2 linked regions of the Alligator mississippiensis genome follow. The protein of the gene in region 1 interacts with the protein of each later gene in a biochemical or structural test. Links are inferred from orthologs where the notes say so. Each region holds a gene or a part of one and is shown in the gene's direction. Other genes may lie near its edges.

Region 1 (7,283 bases):
AACTATGAAACAGAGGCCAATCAAATGGACTTAAATGGACAAATTTGTGAAGGAAGCTTGCCAAGCAAATTTTGTACATCCAGAAGGGTGAAAATATGTCCCCATTCCCCTTTCCCTGAGATTACAGGGTTGATTGTGGAGGGGTGATAACTGCTTTCTTCTCATGCTAGTATCTGATTTCAACATAAGCACAAACCTCCAGGTTCCTCTTCTACTATCACGAGATGCACACTCATCTAATAAGCACCTGAGCTATTACTATCATGTCAACTGAAAGTACCTTCTGGATTCTATCCCTCAGGGCTGAAGGAGCATTTATGTCTCTTTAACAGCCTGTTATGCCTCTTCCTTTTAGAACACATCTGTGTATTTCTCAGTTATAATGTTCTCTGTCAGTTTGATTGTACAGGGAACAATTTATGTCTCAGTTACAAATTGTGGCTTAATTCCAGAGGCGGAGCAGGTGTTCTGTCCCCAGCAATTACGGCAAAGGTGTTCTGACTTCTCTATTGCTGTGTCAGTGTGCGACAATATGCCAATGCTGGAACAGGGAGTCCTGGACATGTGTTTATAACATTAGTGGAGGTCTTTGGCAGGTTGCACCAGTTGTGAAGCTAAATTTGATGTCCGCACCTATTTTCAAGCATGGATGACGTGCATGGCATTAAGTGTAATGGCTAGGTTTGGCCCATGAGTAACACCTGGTATGTGAGCATCCTCCCCAAGGCCAACATGTGATTACTTGATGGCATTTATAAGTTCTCTGTGACTGCACGGCTGCCCAAAACAATCCCTCTTGAAGCTGACTGCACTTTTGGCCAAATACTGGAACATCTCTATACTGATGTGCTAGTTGACAGCTTTCATGCATCTGTCAGGGTTCCACAAGTCTTCCAGGACTTGGTGCTCTTTCTTTGCATGACTTAATTTCCTCACATGCTTTCCAACTGTGTTTTTCCTTCAGAGTCTACTTCAGGAGAAGCTCGCATAGTTTCCTAACTGCCCTCTGTTCTTAAGCCTGCACTTGCCATTTTGCCCATTTGAGTACTATACAGATTTGTATAGCTTTTTCTTACAATCTAGTTACAATCTTGGAGCAAAGGCTTGTAATCTTGGAGCAAAGGCTTGTAACGGTTCCCAACTGGGCAGCTCACTACCAGCCTATCTTTAATCAAGGATTCTTATACAGCTAAAACCATAAGACTGACATTTTAGCCTTAAGTTTGTAGGCTACTTAGTTTCTAGACTAAGGAAGGAACCTTTCCTGGTTTTATTCTTTCTAGGTACATAGTGATCTTTCAACTGTCCTGCCAAAATCTGTTCTGTTGATGGATGAGAGCTTGAAGGCTGGTGCTACAGCTAATAATGCCACTTTGCTGGTACAGCTCACTTGGTCCGCACGCTCTGCAGTCATGTACAGAAAGAATGTGTTCTTGAAATGTTTCCAGACCCTCTTCCACATTACCTCAAACCTTCCTTCTCGTGGTGGTTTCAAGCCACCCATCCCTGTTGGCCGAGTCTGTGCAATTCAAGTATCTGGGATCACAGTGAAAATGTTTCTCAATTGCTCTCAAATCCATCCGCTCAATGCAGCATGTGTTGTTGCTCTTGTTAAGGCACAGAGCTTGTGTTTAACAACTGTATGAGTTTTGCTCAAACATTATGTAATTCAGCAACAAGAGCCCACTACAGGCTCCAGCCAGCTACAGTCTGCTCTGCCCCCTGCTGTTCTGAACCCTGCCCTCCCTCCTGAAGGATGCCCTTTGCTCTGTGGCCACAGCCCATGTCAACAGCCACAGCTGTTCTACACCACAGTTGTGGGTTTGCAGAGTGAAAAAATAGAGCAGGTGGAGTAAGTATTTGTAAGTATTTGCTCAAAGCCTGTTTCAAGTGGTTTCCCTGCATGCTTGAGGAACAGAGTGCAAAAATCTTACTCAGATTTGCAGAGTGCCTTGCAGATTTGCTGGGGTCCTAGCTATCAGCAGTTTCCCTACAGGAAAGGGAGAAGTGAGATTCCCCACCCCCTTGTGCCTTCTTGAGCAAGGATTTAACTACCACCTCTTCAGCTAGGTGCCTTGATTTAGGGGCCCTCTGCAGAAGCCTTAATATTCTTGGATCATTTAGAACAGGACTGGCTAACCCATGGCACAAGTGCTACACATGACAGAAGGAGCCTCTGTGTGTGGCCTGCAGCAGATCAGTGAAGGGACAGGGAACACAGAGACAGATAGGGCAAAGAGCAGAAAAGCAAAGCAACAGTTTGGGCAAGGGAAGGGGACTTAAGTGGCACTCAGGGTGCGAGGCTTAATGTGTGGCACTCCTGCCCCAAAGATTGGCCCCCACTGATTCAGAAGGAACTAAGTAAGCTAGTTTTTTTCATTCCCCCATGGCAGCTCTTCATGGTCTCATGTCCCTAAGGGCCCTGTGGATTTCTTCAACAGTTTGTGCCCCAGAATACCTGGCCTTTGGGGAGAGGGTCTGGGGTAACATTTCTCATCCCATAGGTCGCAACCCAAAAATGGGTTGCAACAATATACGACAGGGTTGTGAACAAACTTTAAAAATGGATTCTCTTTTCAAGGAGAATATGTGGGAAACCGTGGCTTTTGCCTTGCAGGTTGGCAGCGTTACAGCCTGAAAGGGGCTGCTTGGGGCCCCCTATGTCTCCCCCCCCCCCCCCACACACACACACACACCCTGCCCCACACACTTGGGGGCTGGGAGCAGGGGGCAGTGAGTTGGGAGTGAGGGGCACTGGGTCAGGACTGGCCATTGATGTTTATAAATGGGTATTGCTACAAAAAAGGTTGAGAACCACTGGTCTAGAGGGCTTCTCTCCATAGCCCTGCACTCAGGGAGGGAGGAAATAAATAGCAGCAGCTTCGGGCAGCAGACAGATCATTTTCATCATAAAAATCAGGTTTCTCCTGAGATGCGTGTTGGGAAATGTTCATTCCTGGGTATTGAACACCTTGTGGATGCCCCCTAATGGCTGCCAGGGAAATGGCAGCCTGGCGCACAGTCTGTTTATTCCATGATCTGTCCCATTAGACATCTGTTCTTGACACAGAGGGACTGCAGCAGTTAGGACATTTCCTACATCCACCCCTCATTCAATTGTCCTCCACCCCATGCAACCTGGCTCACAACAATAGCCCAGCACCATAGCCCAGATCTTTCTCCACCGCTACCCTTCGTTGTCCCTCTCACCACACAACGTCCCCCACCCCCCAGTCTTTCCATTCCAGTTACTATTGCTCATAGCCTGCTTCCCTGTTTGTTCCCTCCTCTGTCCCCATGGACCCCTGTGGCTCTCTGATGTTGCTAAAACCTCATAAGATCATGACCAGCCGCACTCACCTGCACCACAAGTAACCCACTCCCTGTCCCTGGAGTGACAGCCACCCTTCCCCCATCCCCCTCCCTCCTTTCCTACATGGCCCTACTGCTCCATCATCTAACAAATGTGCCCTTCACCTGCTCATCCTGCAGATGGGAATTCCCCTCTGCCCACCAGAGACCACTTTGAACTACTCATGTCCTTATAGGCACCTTGTCACACGATGGGCTGAGCAGCCTGATAAAGTGAAGGGGACTCAGGACAGAGCAGGGTTAAACGCTATGGTCTCGATACCTCTTCCCCCTGCCTTCCCCCTGGCTGCAGCACCATACAGGACCCTGGTACCCTGCAGCTGAAAGCACCGGTCCAGGTGTAGGATGTCTGAACACAAACAACATTAGCAATTGTAAGAAGGGAAAGCAGGGGCCCAGCTGGCAGTATCCCAAAGCCTTAGCTGCAGACACTCAGCACAGAGAACCAAAGCAAACCCTTTAGAGATAGCTTATCTTGGGACTCTAATGTTTAATTTCCGCCACCTTTCCCCCTGTTCTCCCCAGACACCTACTTAGTGGTGACTTCAGAGCCCTCCACCTCCTCTGCTGGGGGCTGAACGGGAAGAGGTGAACAGGCTGGGAATAGGTCCAAGAGTCACTTCTGGGGCTTGCAGCCCCCAGGTGGCACTGGCCACGCGATATATGGACTGGCCATTATGGTATGGGGATGGAGCGAGTGCTCTGGCAGGCTCAGCCTTCCCCCTTCCTCTCACTGAAGGCTCTCTTGGCAGCTTCCCCACTCTTTTGGCAGAGACGTACCAGAACTGGAGAGAGCAGCAAGAGAGAAAAATTAAAAAGGGAAAAAAAAGCTCAATCGCCTGGAGAGGCTTATGTGTTTGCCCTTTTATAATGACGTAGTGTCCTGTGCCTCTCTCCCCCCCTTCTCTCACTCTCTTTCCCCTCCCTCCTTCCAACCCCCACCCCTTTTCCCCTCACATCCTTGGAAGCAACAATTAAGCAGCTCTGGGATAAAACACACTGGCTGTGAGAGGACTGGGGCATTGCTTCAAGAGATGGCAAGGCAGCTAGCTGCATCCCTCTTTCCCGGAGTCCTCCTCCTCCTCTCCATCCTCCAGGCTTCTTGGCAAGGAGGTAAGAAAAGAAAGGGTTGCTTCTCCCTCACCTGAATGGGCAGCTCAACAGCAAGCCTGGCATAGCCCTTCAGGGACTCCTCTGGGCACCTGGGCTACAGTACTGCCAGGGGCTGTAATGGGGCATCCAGAAAAGTTGCCTCTTTAGCTTGCTGTCCAGGTTGCTTGCTTGAGGCTGTCTTCCACTGCCCCCCCCGGAACAACTCATCCCATCTACAGCCCCAGGAGCTAAGCTCACCCAGTGGGGAGGAATGAAGAAGTCTGTCCCAGTCCCAGCTGGGGCAGAAAAGCTCCCTGCTACCCATGCACAAGGGAGATGTGATCAGGGAAAGTCTTGGGCAGATCAAGCATTGGTCCCAAACCCAAGGGTCACTGGCCAGAAATCTTCCCTGCTCCCTGCTTCTGGGGATGGCACTGGGGTCTGGCTTACCTAGGTATGAGGCACTTATTGAGGGAAACTTTAGAGGTCATATGGCTTCTTCCCTAGCACACAGGCAGACATGTTCCCAGCCCCAGACAGGGAGTTCAGGGGACCAGGGGTCTGTCTGGTTCCCAGCATGATGGGCCCGGACCCAGACAGCTTGTGTGTGTGACTGGGACAAGGAGAGTGCATCAGTTAACTTATGTCTGCAATTGGGACATAACTGGTGTGTTTCATGCTTAGTGTCTGACATCCTTTGTGTGTTGCTCTCAGTGTGTTTGTGTGGCATGGTCTATATATATCCCTTTATCAGTGTCAATATACATATGACAGAAGCTGTGTGTATCACTTTTAGTGTGTGTGTGCTTGTGCGTGTTTGGTATAGCCCATGTGTGCATTACTCTGTGTGTGTGACAGCCCTGGTGTATCACTCTCATCTCACAGTGTGTGACTATGACAGTGAATGCATCAGCCACAATATGTGTTAGTGTTTCTGTGTGAGATGTAACCCATGTAAGAGATCACATTCTTGTAGCTCACACTGCCAAAGCCTGACACAACACATGTGGATCACTGTGAGAGACAAGGATAAAACTTGTGTGTATTACTTGTTGTACATATGACACAACTTGTAAGCAGCACTGTCAGTGTATGATAGACATAGCCCACTTGTATTCAACCTGATGTATATGTATGTGTGTGCATGTGCTCATGTGTGCGATAGAGATGACCCTTTGTGTAACTTGGGTGTGTGTGTGATTCTGTGTGTGTATATCTCTCCAAGGTATGTATGTATGATTGACAGTGCTCCTTTGATGCGGATATGAAAGACACAGCCCATATGTAGCGCTGTGTGTAACACTTGCTCTGCCAATGTGTGTGTATGCATGCTGGAGAAGTAGATACATCCTGCGTGTGTCACTGTCAGTGATAGTGTGTGAGAGCATGAGACAGCCATAGTTTGTCTGTAGGGAGAGCCTGTGTGTAGCACTTTTACCATTTGTAGGTATGTAATACAAAACATTTGTATTACTGTGTGTATGACATAGAGGGTATCATTGTGCGTGTATGTGTAATGTAACTGTGAGAGAGGCAAATTCCACATTATCCTGGTTGTGCTCAGATCCCTAAAATCAATGCCAGAAGAGAGGATGAAACTGCAGAATGTCCCTCTCGATGCTCATTGCAGGGAGCCTGGGGACAGGGCACTGGGAGGGCTGTGTGAAGGGGGAGAGGGCACAGATAGGGTGGAGGAACTAACCTGAGACTTGGGCATCTGTGGCTCAACTGTTTGCTCTGCCACAGACTGACTGTGTGATCTTAGGCAAGTCATTTAGCCACTGTGCCTCAACACCATGGGGATATAGTCCTGTCTAACCTCTCAGTGGACTTGTGAGGATAAATGAAGACTTTGAAGACTGTGGTGTGCTCCAATACCACATTTATGGGAGTCACAAAAGTACCTCAGTAGGTAGATGCATTAAGTTTATAGGTAGAAGGGACCGTCCACTTATATAGTATAACCTTACACAAAGCCCAGGACACAGAACATCTTGCTCAAATACTTCTCTATTACGGACTGCCTAGGAGAGGGGGAGGGGATCTCTGGCAGGGCTGCATGAATGGGGTGGGCTGTGGGAAAGACAGGAGGTGGCACTGGCAGGTTGAGTGAGCATGGAGAGAGGGGACACTTGCAGGGCAGTATGAGGCTTGGGAGCACTGGCAAGACTAAGTATAGGAGAAGTAGCCATTGTCTGAGTGGTTCTTCCTCCCAACCCAAAGAAAACCCCTTCAGGTCCATTCTCAGCAGCCAGAAACTCCTTGTGCCAGTGCTGGGGAATGCCTGGCTTCCTCTTGATCCTGTGCCTTCCTGGGATGCCAGCGACAGCTAGTTGTGATCTGGGGAGAGTGCAGGATAAACCCATGGCTAGCAGGTCCAGGCCAGTTAGTCCCCTGAACAGCTGCAGACAGGGTCCAAAGCAAAAATCAGGGCAGTAGACTGTGTAGGGAAAGAGGATCAGAGTGGTACTTGGGGAAGGTACAGGGCTGACTTGTGGTATGCCTGCCAAAAAGGTTTACCCGTGCTTTGCCCTCGTTTGCCCATGCTCCAGTGTGCTGGCTTTGCACCAGGTTTCTTGCCGAACTGTCATTCTCTCAAGGACCTGTAACCTAGTGTCTCCTCACAGCAGCCCAGGGCCAGGCTTTGAGCCTTTGACTGGACCTGATATCTTTTTATTCACTCCCTGTGGGCATGCTGCTCTTGGACCTGGCTTTCTGGGGTGAATACTGGCAGTCTACTAGTTCAGAGCTTGTTCTTTTGAGTCTACTAAGTGGCTGCTCCCTTGTCAGGACCCTCATGCTTGCCAGCTGCAACAATC
Region 2 (7,005 bases), on another chromosome or scaffold:
GCACATAGGTGGAGTAAATGTTAATATGTATGAACCAAGGTGTATAAAATGTGAAAAGAACTAATGTTCAGTGCAGCTCCCCGGTTTGTTGTTTTCTTGGGAGCTAGTCTGAAGCTGTTTCCATTCTGAATAAAGCTGTTGCGAGCGGTGTGTGCTGGTGTTTCCTCCCTGCTTGCTCTGGCTAATGAGTAACAGGATCCATGAGCAATTGAATCATCATCTCCCTAGTTGTTGGGCACTGCATGGAGTTGGGATCTAACAGTGACATGGGTGCTTGTGGGACTGTCTGTCTTGGGGAACAGCAGGGTGAAAACTGCAAGCCTGCTAGGCCCTGCTGCAGCCATGAAGCCTGCCAGCTGTTGAGGAGATAGGTGCAGGGGGAGTCTGGGTTCTGGGGCCCTGCACCTCTAGCTGCTGACAGGAAAAACTTGTGACATGGGTGGGTGACACTGTGTGTGTGTTAAAGTGCACCCTCACTCAACTGACACCAAGACAGAAAGCAGGGCAGTTCGAACAGTGCTACCTTTTATGCAGTTTTTCCATCCCTCCCCCCCCCCCCGAGCACTGGGATTGGAAGGGACCTCAGGAAAGGATGACAGTCACTGGCCAGCTACAGTCAATAATGAGAGCAGTCCTCCCCCCTCCCTCTCTTTCCCCTCCCTCTCCTTACTTTAGTTTCTGTTTCCCTGTGGGCAAACCCAGTTTGAGCTTCAAAACTCAAAACGTTTCTAAAATTTTGAAACATTTTGATTTGCCTTGTTTTGTTTCGAGGCTGTTTCGAAGCTCTCTATTTTGTTTTGATTTTGCTGTTTCAAGCTCAAAACAAGTTGAAACAGCATTGAAACGAAACTGCCAGTGAACTTTTGCACAGCCCTATTGAATACCTATTTGTTCACTAGATTTCAGAACATTTTCCCACAATTAAATTAGGGGGCTGAAGGAACTGGATGGCTAGGAGATATATAATGGTACATACAGTCTTTTGCCTCTTGCTCAGGGTCAGTGGTATATTTTTTAGTGGTATCGGCAAAAGAAACTACTGATTTTAGTCGTTTCTAAAGCATAGTTGGTAATGTTTGCAGAGTGGACAGGGAGTGAATTGAATGTGGAGACCCAACTAGAAGCAGAGGACTTTAGTTTCTTGGATTGTCGCCAGGGCCTTTTATGACTCACAAGCTTGAAATTCACTGAAAATTCAAAATTGTACTTTGGAAAAAATGATAAACAATATAACAGACTGATAAATTGGTAGGGCAATCCTGTCCTATGCTTTGTTCAGCTTTATGAAAAAAACAGTTACTTAATCAGGCAAAGCATATAATGCTGTGGCCAGAATCCCAGTGTGGAAACATTTTCTAATATCACACATTAGGAGACAACCTGCTATTCGTAACACTAATAAGATTTACAGGAAGATTACAAAGACAGAGACCTCATTTTCTTCAGTGTTGTATTTTCCTTCTTCTCTAGACTTTCCATTTTCTTCAGTCTTAGTCAGTGATTGTTCCAGTCAAGATCCAAGATGAATGATAAAATTAAGAAACCACAATGCAAAAGGCTTAGGGGACTGAATTAAACTGTCTGAATATTTGAAGAAAAACCCTCCATAAAATAAATGAGAGAGCAGTTAGCTAACAGGACCTTAACTGCTACATCTAAGGAGAGTGAACAGTTACCTACTGTGCTTTCTCAGAAGGCTCAGCTTGGCAAAACCTACCATGTTAGTATAGTGCTTATCATCTCAGGACCACTCAGGCAGTTGGAACTCTCAAGGTAAAAATATCTGTTAGGTAGGAAGTGGTTGTGGTATGGGATTTAAAGCTGGAAAATTTCCAAGTGAATAAAAAAATCCCACTTATTATTATTACACCAAGTATAAATGGATAGTTTTTGCCACCATTCTACTTAAAAATGGCATACAGAACTGAAGATGACCACCCACTCCAAGTCCAGTTTCCTGCAATTGCAAGTGAACACGTAATGAAATGTTAGTCCAGAAAAAAACAAAAAACAAACCAGAGCCATAACTACCAGTTTCAGCATCTTGGGCAGAAAACAGTGTGTGTGTGTGTGTGTGTGTGTGTGTGTGTGTGTGTGTGTGCCAAGTACCAGAGAGTAGACTGAGAGTGGCAGGATGTGGACAGGGTTTGCACTGAGCACTGGAGACTGGAGAGTCGGGGTTGCAGAGTGCTGATACCCCCGCTAAATTGGTGCCCAGGGCTGGTGCCCTGTTTGCCCAGCCCTAGATTATGTTACTGAAAACAGCAATCACTTCTGCTCCCATCTATGCACCATGGCCACAAAAGAGCCCAAAACAATCCAAACCAAGTCGTCTGTAACAAAGAACTGCACGGTGCCAGAGGAAGAGACCAGGGCTAGGAACAGATGTATGTTTGTCTCAGGATCAATTCTGCCTGTGTTTATTCCAAAACAGGAAAGTCTCAGGATTAGCATGTACCCATATCGTCCTTCCAATAGGGGTTCAGAGAGTGGCTGAATACACTGCCCTTTTCTGCCATTGATTCAACAATGCAATCCCAGCATTCAGAGATGTCCCAGGACAAACTGGTAGTAGCATTCCTTATCCTGTGGACTTTTTTAAGGTTTGCCCTGGGATAAGACATGGACTCCCCCCCCCCCCCCGCACCACACTAATTAAACATATTCATTACAAGCAGTGTTCGAATTATGTAGGAGCTGGGGGTGGGAGGGCTAAGCATAAAAGATGAAAATCCTCCTGTAAGCATGGGCGACTGGTGCTGCCTGAGTCGGGGGGGCACTTGTCCCCACAGTGGCCAGTCAGCGACTGGGGTGGGGCTCCCAAACGGCCCATTGTGCCAACGGGGGAGGGGATCTGTCACAGCCAATCGCACCAACCAGGGGGGTCCCCCCTGCTGGTTGCACCTGCCGACCCAAAGTGCCAGTAGTGCACCCAGAAAGGCCAGGGATGTCCATCGACTCCAGTGCTGGGGGGGAGGGGGGCACCATTGCTCCTGCCTGCCCCCCTGCCCATTGCCTAAGTGGGGAGCGCTGGCCATCAGAGGGTGCACCAGCGCTCTCAGGGGATGCACATGCACCCCCGTGCATCCCCTATGTGTGTCCACTGCAAGATTTGAAAATCATAAAGGGGGGGGGTGTCTCCGATTTTAGTAAGGCATTGTGATGGGCAGCCCATTTTTTTTTTTTGCAGACCTCCGCCCAAGAGTCAAAGGGGGGACTCGAAGTCCGCAAAGGAGGCATTTTTTTTACACGTGGGCAGCGACAGAAGGCAGCACATCTCTTTGGAAACAGCCTTGCCAGGCACTCCAGACACCTGAGCCGGGAAGGGCTGGAAGGGTCCAGAGAATGACTGGAATCCATTGCGCTGAGAGGAGAAATTCCAGCCTGCCACAGACTGGGGAGTGACAAGTCAGACGGAAAAATCCTCAGGACCCCGCTAGGGGTGAGGGAGCTCCTCTCAGTCCCCATTCCTTTGCACAGACTCACCGGGAACCGCCTCACAACAACAACGTCGCCCCCTCACCCATTTCCTGCCAAAGGCTGCAGCGCTGAGGAGCCCCCTGCCTCGGGGGGGGACGGGAAACCGCCTGGCAGGCTGGAGCAAAACAGGGGGGATTGAAAAAGAAAGGGAGAGAGATGGCAGAGACTAAGAGGGAGATTTTGATGAGGAGCTGTCCCCTCTCCTCATGCCTGAGGACAGCGGGTGAGGGGCGGCTGCGGGGCTCCCGGGCACTTGCCGAGGGGGCGCGCAGGCAGCCCTTCCCAGAAACACGTCCCCCCCGCGCTTTCCCAGAGCCCTCTGATGAGCTCATAGCATTTTTCCTTTGCATATCTTGGCGCGGGCCGCGGCCCGTCTCAGCGCGCCCCTCGCCCAGCCCAGTGCGTGTGCACGCGTGTGTATGAGCGCGGGACAGGACAGGACAGGACAGGACAGGGCAGGGCGCGCCGCGCCGCGCCGCGCCGCGCCGCGCTCCTCCCCTCCCCTCCCCTCCCCTCCCCGCCCGCCCGCGAGGGGCAGCCCGGAGGCAGCGACCGCGCCGCACGTCCCCGCTCGCGTTACGTGAGAGCCGCCGCGCTTGTGTAACCGGGCAAAGCCGCCAGAAAGTTTAAAATCCCTCGTCCTGCCGCCGCCCGCCCGCACTCCCGGCGCCGCCCCACGGACGATGCGCGGCGGCTGAGCCGGCCGGCCCGCCCGCCACCGCGCCGCTGAGCAGGAGAGATGCGCCCCGCGCCGGCCGCCGCCGTCGCCCTGCTGGCGCAGCTGCACGTGTGCCTCTACCTAGGCTGCGCGGGACAGCCCCGCCGCGCCCCGCCGCCGCCCGCCGCCTGGAGGCAGCGCATCCAGTGGGAGAACAACGGGCAGGTGTTCAGCCTGCTCAGCCTGGGCGCGCGCTACCAGCCAGCCCGGCGCGGCGCGGCCCCCGCCGCCGCCGCCAGCCCCGTGCTGCTGCTGCGGAACAACCGCACGGCCCCGCGGGCGGCCGCCGCCGCCGCCCCGGCCGCCACGCCGCCCTCCGCCCGACACTGGTTCCAGGCCGGCTACCAGGGGGGCCCGCGGGCCGGCGGCACCAACCGCACGGCCGGCCGCGCCCCGGCCCCGGCCCCGGCCCCGGCGCCCACCCCGGCCCGCGCCCCCAGCGCCCCGCGGCCCGGCCGGGAGGACATCATGGTGGGCGACGACCCCTACAACCCCTACAAGTACACGGACGACAACCCCTACTACAACTACTACGACACGTACGAGAGGCCGCGCCAGGGCAGCAGCTACAGACCCGGCTACGGCACCGGCTACTTCCAGTATGGTAAGAGCCCGCTCCGCGCCCCGCTGGCAGGCAGGCAGGCAGGGGGCGAGCCCGCTTGTCCCGGCGCTGCAACCCTGGGCGGGCCCGGCGTAGGGAAAGCGCTCTGTGTCGGATCGGGGACAGCTTGTGGCCCCGTCCGTGTAAAAAGCAACAGCGGACAAAACACTCGCGCGAGGGGTGAGAGCTTTTATCACACCGCCTTCTCTCTTGTTGACAAAAACAGCGTCCGGATCTCGATCGTTGTGCGCTTTGGTGTTTTTGTCTATTCCGAGATTTTACCAGGGATCAGTACGTGGACCTGGCTCTCCTGATCCCCGTTAGACCAACTACATAGTAGCAGACAACAGTAGCTTTCTTGGCAGGCTCTTGGGTCCAAACACTCTTCTTTAGGCAGAAGAGAGCTCAAAGATTGTAAAAGTGCACCCAGGGAGAAACAACAAAGTTCTTCAGGGGAATCTGATATTTTTTTTATAAGAGCAACTTAGAAAAGACAAGGTACTTTAGGTGAATCTGACATCTTCTATAAGACCAGCTTAATTAGCTGGAAACATTTTTCTTAGCAAGCTTTCGGGTTTTAAAAACCCTTCATTTTAAATTTTCCCCTCCCCAACTATTTTAATTGGTCTAATAAAAGATGTCAGATTCACCCAAAGAACCTTGTCTGCCTGTGTTCTTAGACCAACATGGCTACAACCTACACCCAGAAAGAAAATAAACTTCATTGTGTGCAAGGGAGGTAAAGGACAGTGTGGTTCCCCTGGGTTTCAAAACATGTTGTTTTTTGAGGCAGCTCACTTATGGAGCCTATACGGGACCCAAGTCATTCTCAAGGGAGTTGTAACTGACTTTTGGGTTTGCTGGCAGCACTTTCTTACGACTGCTTGCCTCAAAATCAAAAAATGCTTTGGCTTTGACCCAGTTCTTACTCACTAGCTACAGTGAGCAAAATGAAGTAAATAAGATGATGGCTGATTTGCATACTTATTTGCATATTTTTTCAGTATGGGTTACTCTTTTAGCAAATGTGATCATTTTGAGCTTCCAATACAATAATTTCATATTTAAGACCTGGCAACGCTGGCAAGAGGTGATCTGTGCCTACGTCACAATGGGCAGGAGTCCTCCATGCAATAATAGGGGCACAGTGGGCATGGCTGGTGCTGCAACTCCCTTCAGTTCTGGGTGGGGGGGGAATGGGTTAAGACTGAGACCAAATCAGATGAGATCCAGTTACCCTGGAACAGGTTACCAAGAGAGGTGGTGGCATCTGCATCCCTAGAGGTTTTTAAGACCTGACTAGACAAAGCTGTAGTGGGATGATTTAGCTGGGGATGGTCCTGCGCGGAGCAAGGGTTGGCCTAGAATGATGGCCTCCCGAAGTCTCTTCCAAGCCTAATTTTCCAACCCCCATCACAGCTTAGCTCAAACATGACCTCCCCCTACATCACGCTTGGGAGCGCAGCTCCCTGTTTGCAGACGTGTCCTGGGTTGATCCTTGCCATTGTGTGGTTGGTTTGATGCACTGCAGGTCTCCCTGACTTAGTCCCGGATCCCTATTACATCCAGGCGTCCACGTACGTGCAGAGGATGTCCATGTACAACTTGAGGTGCGCTGCTGAGGAGAACTGCCTGGCCAGGTAGGCAGTTATGGCTATGTTTTTCCTTGCTCCCCCGGGAGTGGTGCTTTTGCAGCTCCCAGCCACAGAAGGAGAGCAGGCCCTCTCTCTAGCTTGACTGGCATCTCTAACCTTGGTGAGAGGCAGACAAGGAAGATCTACAGCACAAGATTTTATAAAGTTACAAGTGCTTTCGGATGTCTTCATACTAGGGAGCCCAGCTCCCTTTAGGGGTCTTGCCAAGGCCTGCTTTTCAGAAGGGGGAGAGAAGAGCTTGCTAAAAAACAGGCTTCTTAAAGGAGCATACCTGAACTGCCCCCCAAAATGACTCATCACTGGTGAAAATACTTGTCTAGGGTTTTTATTGGAATCTGTTCCCTTTCAGCTCTCCTCCTGCTCCTCCCCAATCTTAATAACCGACGATCCTGTTGCATTTCTTTTAGAAATGCTGCTTTGTAATCAATGTAAGCAATTCAAAATTATATGGTGCAACCCCTGTAAGGTTTAAACCCATTTAAAAAATGGTTGCAACAACTCAAACTTGAAACAAAACCGTTGCTATCAAGTTTATCCCAGTCCACTTGGCA

Evidence for each region.
Region 2: the proteins of ELN (region 1) and LOX form a complex in vitro, tested with the Homo sapiens proteins (2 studies listed by BioGRID and IntAct). The link is inferred for Alligator mississippiensis from reciprocal best matches to the Homo sapiens genes ELN and LOX.

What each region holds. Positions count from the first base shown.
Region 1 is NC_081837.1:27,776,881-27,784,163, reverse strand, and holds the start of ELN (elastin), read left to right. Parts: upstream 1-4,283; 5' UTR 4,284-4,406; coding exon 4,407-4,485; intron 4,486-7,283. UniProt on the Homo sapiens protein: Major structural protein of tissues such as aorta and nuchal ligament, which must expand rapidly and recover completely.
Region 2 is NC_081826.1:220,066,196-220,073,200, forward strand, and holds the start of LOX (protein-lysine 6-oxidase), read left to right. Parts: upstream 1-3,988; 5' UTR 3,989-4,219; coding exon 4,220-4,802; intron 4,803-6,330; coding exon 6,331-6,439; intron 6,440-7,005. UniProt on the Homo sapiens protein: Responsible for the post-translational oxidative deamination of peptidyl lysine residues in precursors to fibrous collagen and elastin. Regulator of Ras expression. May play a role in tumor suppression. Plays a role in the aortic wall architecture.